2 linked regions of the Macaca fascicularis genome follow. The protein of the gene in region 1 purifies or fractionates together with the protein of each later gene. This does not show direct contact. Links are inferred from orthologs where the notes say so. Each region holds a gene or a part of one and is shown on either strand. Other genes may lie near its edges.

What was found.
Region 2: the proteins of UBE4B (region 1) and UBL7 purify together in Homo sapiens (affinity purification with mass spectrometry; 3 studies listed by BioGRID and IntAct, counting the BioPlex papers as one, with this or other methods). This does not show direct contact. The link is inferred for Macaca fascicularis from reciprocal best matches to the Homo sapiens genes UBE4B and UBL7.

What each region holds. Positions count from the first base shown.
Region 1 is NC_088375.1:224,785,527-224,789,989, reverse strand, and holds the start of UBE4B (ubiquitin conjugation factor E4 B), read left to right. Parts: upstream 1-1,636; 5' UTR 1,637-2,353; coding exon 2,354-2,377; intron 2,378-4,463. UniProt on the Homo sapiens protein: Ubiquitin-protein ligase that probably functions as an E3 ligase in conjunction with specific E1 and E2 ligases. May also function as an E4 ligase mediating the assembly of polyubiquitin chains on substrates ubiquitinated by another E3 ubiquitin ligase.
Region 2 is NC_088381.1:51,557,962-51,560,750, reverse strand, and holds part of UBL7 (ubiquitin-like protein 7), read left to right. Parts: intron 1-604; coding exon 605-738; intron 739-998; coding exon 999-1,048; intron 1,049-1,312; coding exon 1,313-1,480; intron 1,481-2,057; coding exon 2,058-2,180; intron 2,181-2,789.

The sequences.
Region 1 (4,463 bases):
CTTCTAATTTTTGTATTTTGTATTTCACCATCTTGGCCAGGCTGGTCTTAAACTCCTGACCTCTTGATCCACCCGCCTTGGCCTCCCAACGTGCTGGGATTACAGGTGTGAGCCACCGCACCCGGCCGGGGAGTGACTGTTAATGGCTTGGAGGGTTTCTTTTTCGGATGATTAAAATGTTCTGAAATCGGACAGTGAGGATGACTGAGCTGTGAACATAATAAAACCATTGTACACCTTAATTGGGTGAATTGTATAGTATGTAAATTAGATGGCAATAATAAAAAAAGTAAACTTTTAACATCAATGTCACCAGGGGTTCAAGTTCTGGCTTACACAGAATTCCTTTCCTGGAGAGCAGATAATATGCAAAGCCAGCAGTGGTTTATTTTTACTCACAAATTCCTTAAGTATCTAGTAGTCAGGTTCCTATTTTAAGCATGTAGCAAAGACATTGTAACTCTTAATTCTGGAATATAGTCTTTACGGTTTAGTGAGCCATCCAATCCACTTCTCGTCTTTAGTCCGTGGCAAAATCGGGAATTTCATGGTACTGTTACTTTGATCGCTCAACTTAGATTTATATAACATTTTTTATTTTTTGAGACGGAGTCTTGCTCTGTCGCCCAGGCTGGAGTGCAGTGGCAGATCTCGGCTCACTGCAAGCTCCGCCTCCCGGGTTCACGCCATTCTCCTGCCTCAGCCTCCCGAGTAGCTGGGACTACAGGCGCCCGCCACCTCGCCCGGCTAGTTTTTTTGTATTTTTTTAGTAGAGACGGGGTTTCACCGTGTTAGCCAGGATGGTCTCGATCTCCTGACCTTGTGATCCGCCCGTCTCGGCCTCCCAAAGTGCTGGGATTACAGGCGTAAGCCATCGCACCCGGCCAAATATTTGTATTCTTGTGCACCTGAAGATGGTTTTCACCCACTGACTCCAAACGTCTTCTTTGCATTTGCTGTGTACAATTCAGTGATTTGGGTTTCTCATCCATTTATACTTTCAACTTTTATCAATACTTTTTGAACACACTTAAAAAAACCCCCAGGAAGTATCTCTCTAAAAGGCCAAGGTAAAGTAAAATGAATGGGAGTTCTTGTGTCCGAATTCTCTTCCAACTGGCCTTTCCTGGAGGAGGTGGAAGAGTGTGTAGCAGATGTTTTAGAAAATGAGCGCTCAATAGGGTAGATCGCGCTCCCGCGGACAAGGAGACGTTTTTCGTTTTCTTATCCCTCGCTTAGGCGGCGGGCGCGCAGAATCCAGTGGGAGCAATGAGGTGTTTCTGGGCTCCCAGGTCACAGAAAAGCAGACGAGTGGGAACGACGGAGGCGCCGCGGGCCAGCGCCACCTTCTGGCGGATGTTCCCCGGCGTGCGTCCGGGAGCCGTCTCTCCCCCTGCCAGCCTACCTGGCCCAGGCCCGCGGCGCCCGCCGCCCCTGCGCGGTCGCCGTGGCAACGCCCCGCCCTGCCGCCCGCCTCCCTTTGCCCCTCCCCCCGGCCGGCGCGGCTGCGCGGGAGGGGGTGGGACGGGGGCGGGGAGAGGACGCAGGCGAGAAGAACTCCGCGGCGCGGCGCCCGCGACCTATTGGCTGCCACGTCCCGGCGCCAGAAGCCCCGCCTCCCTGACGGGGGTCACGTGATCCCTTTCAAAGATGGCCGCCCTGTTGTTTTGATGAATAATACTTGGTGGGGCGAGGGGGAAAGAGTAGGGGTGGAGGGGTAGGAGGATTTACTCTTCCAGCGAGAGCTACGCGCGTCCCATCCTCCCCCTCCCCCCTACCCGGGCTCCGGCGTGGAGGCGGGGCGTGGCCGGCCTGCTTTGGGAGGGGAGGGGCTTCCCTTACAGTGCTGGGCTCTGCCAGGACGGCTGTGGGGTCGCCTTACCTCGGGGTATCCACTCTGCAGTGGACCAGTTCCCGCCAGAGGCAAAGGGTAGGAAGGAGAGCAGGATCTGCTGTAGGAACGCAGCTACCGCGCCACTATCACGAAGACACAGCAGGCTCGGGGCACGAGACGAGCTGGAGACCGCGCTGCCTAGTCTGGGTAACCTGGGAAGCAGAGGGAAGTAAGTGGCGCCTTAAGATAACCCTGTAGCAGCAGCAGTGGCGGCCAGAGGAGGCTGCTCAGGGAACAAGCGGCTGTAGTAGTCTCTGGGGCGATTGGAGTGACCGAAGCCAAGGCAGTTCAGTGCCTCTTGTGTTCTTATTTTTTAACCTCTGACTATGCAATTCTGAAACCTCCCCCATTCGGGGGACCAGACAGCCTGATAGACACCTTCCACTCTCCTTCCTCCCGCCGTGGTCGCGAGAACAGAAGGATCTCTCCCTAACGCCTTTCACCATTAAGAGGAAAGCGATGGAGGAGCTGAGCGCTGATGAGGTGAGGAGGTTGGGGGACACCTTGAGGGATTAGTTGGCAACTCGTTAGCGCTTTGGACAGGGATGATATTGCGCCAGTGCTGTCTGGCCTTTGGGCTTGGAGAAGGAACGGAGATGATATTTTCCAAGAATAACATGACTCCCCATAGGGTCTCTGGTTTTATTCTCCTTTATTCTTTTGCCTTATTTCTTCATTCTGAACTCCATTTGCTTCTTTCCGAGTGTTCTTTTAGGGTCTGAAAAAGAGGAGAGAGCATCTTGAGGTGTTTATTCTTTTCTTCAGGGTATGCAAAGAAGAACGGCTAGATTTACATCAAGTTAAAGTGTGTTGTGTGTCGTCAGGAATTTAAAGCACGATTTTGGATGGAATGAGAATGTATGGTGGGTGAATATTTTTAAAGAAAGCATTTGAAATTCCAAATATGTGTGGTTATTTAACTGTATAAGCTGATTAAACATATCTTTTTGCTTGAGGGATGGTTTACAGACAGATTCTTTGATATTTAACAAAATATGTATCTTCTCAACAGTTAAGAGAATTCCAGTTGTATTCTAGTGACTTAATATAAGACCACTAATGACTTCTGGCATTCTTCTCTTACATTCTATCTTTTTCTACTTCTTGAATCTTTCAAACTTGTGTTTTGCTGTAGCAGAGACTGAACAGGAAGCAAGTGGTAGCAAATGAATTTGTAAACTCTCTCCTGTTATCATTTCTTGAAGGAGTTATACGATCTATTTCTTGATGTTTTAAAGATTGTTTAATAAGTTAGATTGTTGTAAAAAAAAAAAAAAAGCAGTGGCAATCAGGGTACAAGGAATTTCCTACGCTTCTACTGCCTTTTTCCTTCCTTTTTACAAATTGGGAGCTTCCCTTTCAGGACCCCTGCTGGCCATACCCTCTTCAGCCTACCTCCACATTTCTTCCACTGGTTCATCATATAAACTTCCCTACAGTATTAGGAAAGCAGTCATCCATCAGGTTGATTGTACTACAAGATTTCCATGCTCCAGTTTTGGCTACAGAGTATTTAGTGTGTTTACTTAGGGACTGAAATTCTCCAGGTGTAGGACATGGCAGTGGTGTGTTAAGGGTCAGGTAGGAAAGGAAGCAAATGATTTTGTTGATTGTGATACTTGGATACTTGGTTTGGAAAATCAGGATTGCCCATTCTGCGTTACTGACGTTGTGTTTTTATAAATACATCAGAAATGTAATCTTAAGAGAATATTACACAGTTTCTTTCATTCGGTAGGAAATATCAAGAGATCTCCTAAGAATCACTTTGTTTTATGTGGTTTAAGTTTCTCCACCCTTCCCCGTTTTTCATTAATGTTAATTCTAGTGAGTAATTTCTCTTAAAGCCGAGATGCTGTTTTTTGTTTTTTGTTTGTTTGAGACTCAGTCTTGCTGTCGCCCAGGCTGGAGTGCAGTGGCGCCATCTCAGCTCACTGCAAGCTCCGCCTCCCAGGTTTACGCCGTTCTCCTGCCTCAGCCTCCCTAGTAGCTGGGACTGCAGGCGCCCGCCACCACGCCAGGCTAATTTTTTGTATTTTTTTGTATTTTTAGTAGAGACGGGGTTTCACCGTGTTAGCCAGGATGGTCTCGATCTCCTGACCTCGTGATCCGTCTGCCTCGGCCTCCCAAAGTCCTGGGATTACAGGTGTCAGCCACCGCGATGGGCCAGAGATACTGTTTTTTAGTAGTACTTTACTCCCAGAAATTACTTTTTTTTTTTGATGATCTGTTTAGAGGCTTTGCACACTTGAGTTTTCACCAAGAAATTTTTTTCAAACCAGCGAGGCGTTACAGACCATGAATATACTGTATAATCTAAAATGTGTCTCTTCACTTTGCTCAGTCCTTGAGGAAGGTGTAACTTTTTTTGTGACCATATAAGGAACACATGAAACCTTTGTGGAAGAAATAGAAGAAACTTTTTTTCAAGGTTAGCAGAATATTCAAACAAATGAGAAAAATTAAATTCACTAATACAGGATCAATGTAAAATTATCTTCAACAAATTAGTTGTCCTGAACACAAAAAGCTGATTCAATAACTGCTAATTTTACTCACAGCAGAACCT
Region 2 (2,789 bases), on another chromosome or scaffold:
TATGTCAGGAGGTGAGAAAGAGCAAAGCCCAAGAGCAGGGCTTTTGTCAAGAGTGTTGGGAGGAAGCAGGATTCTGAGGGAAAGGATCTTGCCTGCCAGGCTCAGTTTAGGTTTCATTTGGTAGAAATTAGGGAGCTTTCCAAGGATTTTAAACTGGTGAAAGGAGAAGCAGGTGTACAGATCCATAAAGTGTCAAAGCTGGAAAGGACATGTCCTCATTTTGCAAGTGAAGAAAACAGCCCCACCCTGGGAAGAGAAGGGACCTGTCCAGGGTTGCCTGATGTAGTAGTGGTGCCTAGACCAGAGGCTCCTCATGTGCTCAGGCCAGAACCCTGAGCCTCCCAGGCTGCACCTTTCCCATCATGCCTTGCCTATGGAGAGGGTGAAGAATCTGCAGTGGACCCAGGAATTGAAGGCCTTGCTCCCGTTGCTGGGGGCAGATCAGCAGGAGGATAAATCTTCCTGGCGGAAGATGCTGAAGACCGAGGAATTTGAGGGCAGGCACAGGTGGCTGCATTGTTGTGAGAGGGCACCCAGAACTCTTGTCATGGTCGAGGGTGCTCTTTTGGAGTCACCCTTGGGTTTCTTCCTGCTTCTGTCCTAGGTTGGTGCCTGCTCACCCAGCCCTCGTCAATGCCATTGTCCTGGTTCTGCACTCGGTAGCAGGCAGTGCCCCAATGCCAGGGACTGACTCCTCTTCCCGGAGCATGCCCTCCAGCTCATACCGGGATATGCCAGGTGAGCCCCTGAATAGTGTAATATGGGCCCCTTAGGAGCCGGCAGTGGCCCAGGAATTTGCTTTACTCAGCAGCTATGTATAGCGTTGGCAGAGGGCGTTCCTTGGGAACTCTCGGTTTGAGTCAGGAAGTGCATCTGTCCTGTAATTTTCCGAGGGGAGAGATGAAAATATGAATTTGGAGAGTAACTTGAGCTGAGATTCTGGAGCTGCGCCTGTGCCTTTCTGTTCTTCCTCCTGAAATCTGTTCGTCCTCCTCCAGGTGGCTTCCTGTTTGAAGGGCTCTCGGATGATGAGGACGACTTTCACCCAGTAAGTGGACTGCCTGCCTGCCTGCCATTTGGGGTAGATGGTGCTGGGAATGAGCTGCATCCTGGGACCTGGCACTCCCAAGGCTGGGAGGTGGACACAGGCCACTGAGGGGCCAAGACCATGTCATACTATTTCTGCTTTGGGATTCCTTTCTGAACCTGCGAGCTTAAGAGTTTCCCCAAGAACTATTCCTGGAGGTGGGTGAAGTTCATCTGGGAGTTTCATAGTACTGCTTGCCTGATTCTGAGTGTCTTCTTTCTCTAGAACACCAGGTCCACACCCTCTAGCAGTACCCCCAGCTCCCGCCCAGCCTCCCTGGGGTACAGTGGAGCTGCTGGGCCCCGGCCCATCACCCAGAGTGAGCTGGCCACCGCCCTGGCCCTGGCCAGCACTCCGGAGAGCAGCTCTCACACACCGACTCCTGGCACCCAGGTATGAAGACAGGGCCTGGAAGATCAAGGCTGGGTCCCCAAGGAACAAGCTCCCCAGCAGTAGAATAGATTTGCCTTTGCTGACCCTGGTGCTAGATCTAGTTTAAGCTGAACCCTGGACTCCTGGTGGGGATTTCTTACTGCAGCTTGAGTGACCTCCCCTTCACTTGCCTTGAGGACTCAGAGGTCTAGATTTTAACATGGTCCTGAGTAGTCCCTCCTATTAGTTCAGAAGACTCTCCCCTCACACAATATGCCCTTCCTCATCCCTGACAGGGAGCAGACACCACCAGCTTAAGCATTTCTGGGTGAAAAGTCACTTCAGCTTTCAAGGCCATCTCTCCCAGTGCTGGGGTCCTAGGGTGGGACAAGGCACTCAGTGCAGAAAAGAATGGAACCTTTCCTGCCCACATAGAGAGCTTCTAGGTACCTTTGTTTGGTTGTCTCATGGCAGGTCTTTGTTGGGAGGCAGAAGTTGGGTACCTCAGGAGCACTATGGGGTGATATGACAACAGCAAGTATCTGCTATAAGATTGAGATGGCTCTGAGGGTGGCACTGACCACTGATTTGTCTCTAGGGCCATTCCTCAGGGACCTCACCAATGTCCTCTGGTGTCCAGTCAGGGACGCCCATCACCAATGATCTCTTCAGCCAAGCCCTACAGCATGCCCTTCAGGCCTCTGGGCAGCCCAGCCTTCAGGTCAGTCTTCCCCACTTCCTGGTTTCCATGTGGCTTCCTTGTTATTTTGGATGCCCAGCCTTTTTTTGCTCTCTGGGGGTCCTTCACACCTGGCATGCTTCGTTCTGGGAATAGCTGGAGCATGGCAGTGGGACAGGTACAGAGTGTTCCCAGCAAGGGCACACTCTCAGACCATTCACAGTGGTCACTATGGCTTCTCCTGCCCCTACTGACCATGACTTGACTCCCTAGACCACCTGGCTTAGATAATCATGGCGATTTCATTCATTCATTCAGTGAGCATTGACTGAGCATATATATACTAGGCCGGAGTCCAGATGCTGGGCTAGAGGCAAGCTGGTTCTCATCCCTGCCATGGAGGGGCACCAGGCAGGTACTGAGCTGGGGAGCAACAAGGCAAGAAGCCCAGCTCCTTGAAGTAAGGGTCAGGCAAAACTTTTCTGAGGGAGGGGTATTTAAGCTGATTGTCAGAAGAATTAGAAGTTAGCTAACCAGGGAGGGGGTGTTTGAGGTAGGAAGGGGATGATTTCCAGGTGAAGACAGCTACCTGTTTGTGCACGTGTGGAGGTATGTGTGATGTACTCAAAACTACGAGGCTAGGATGCAGTG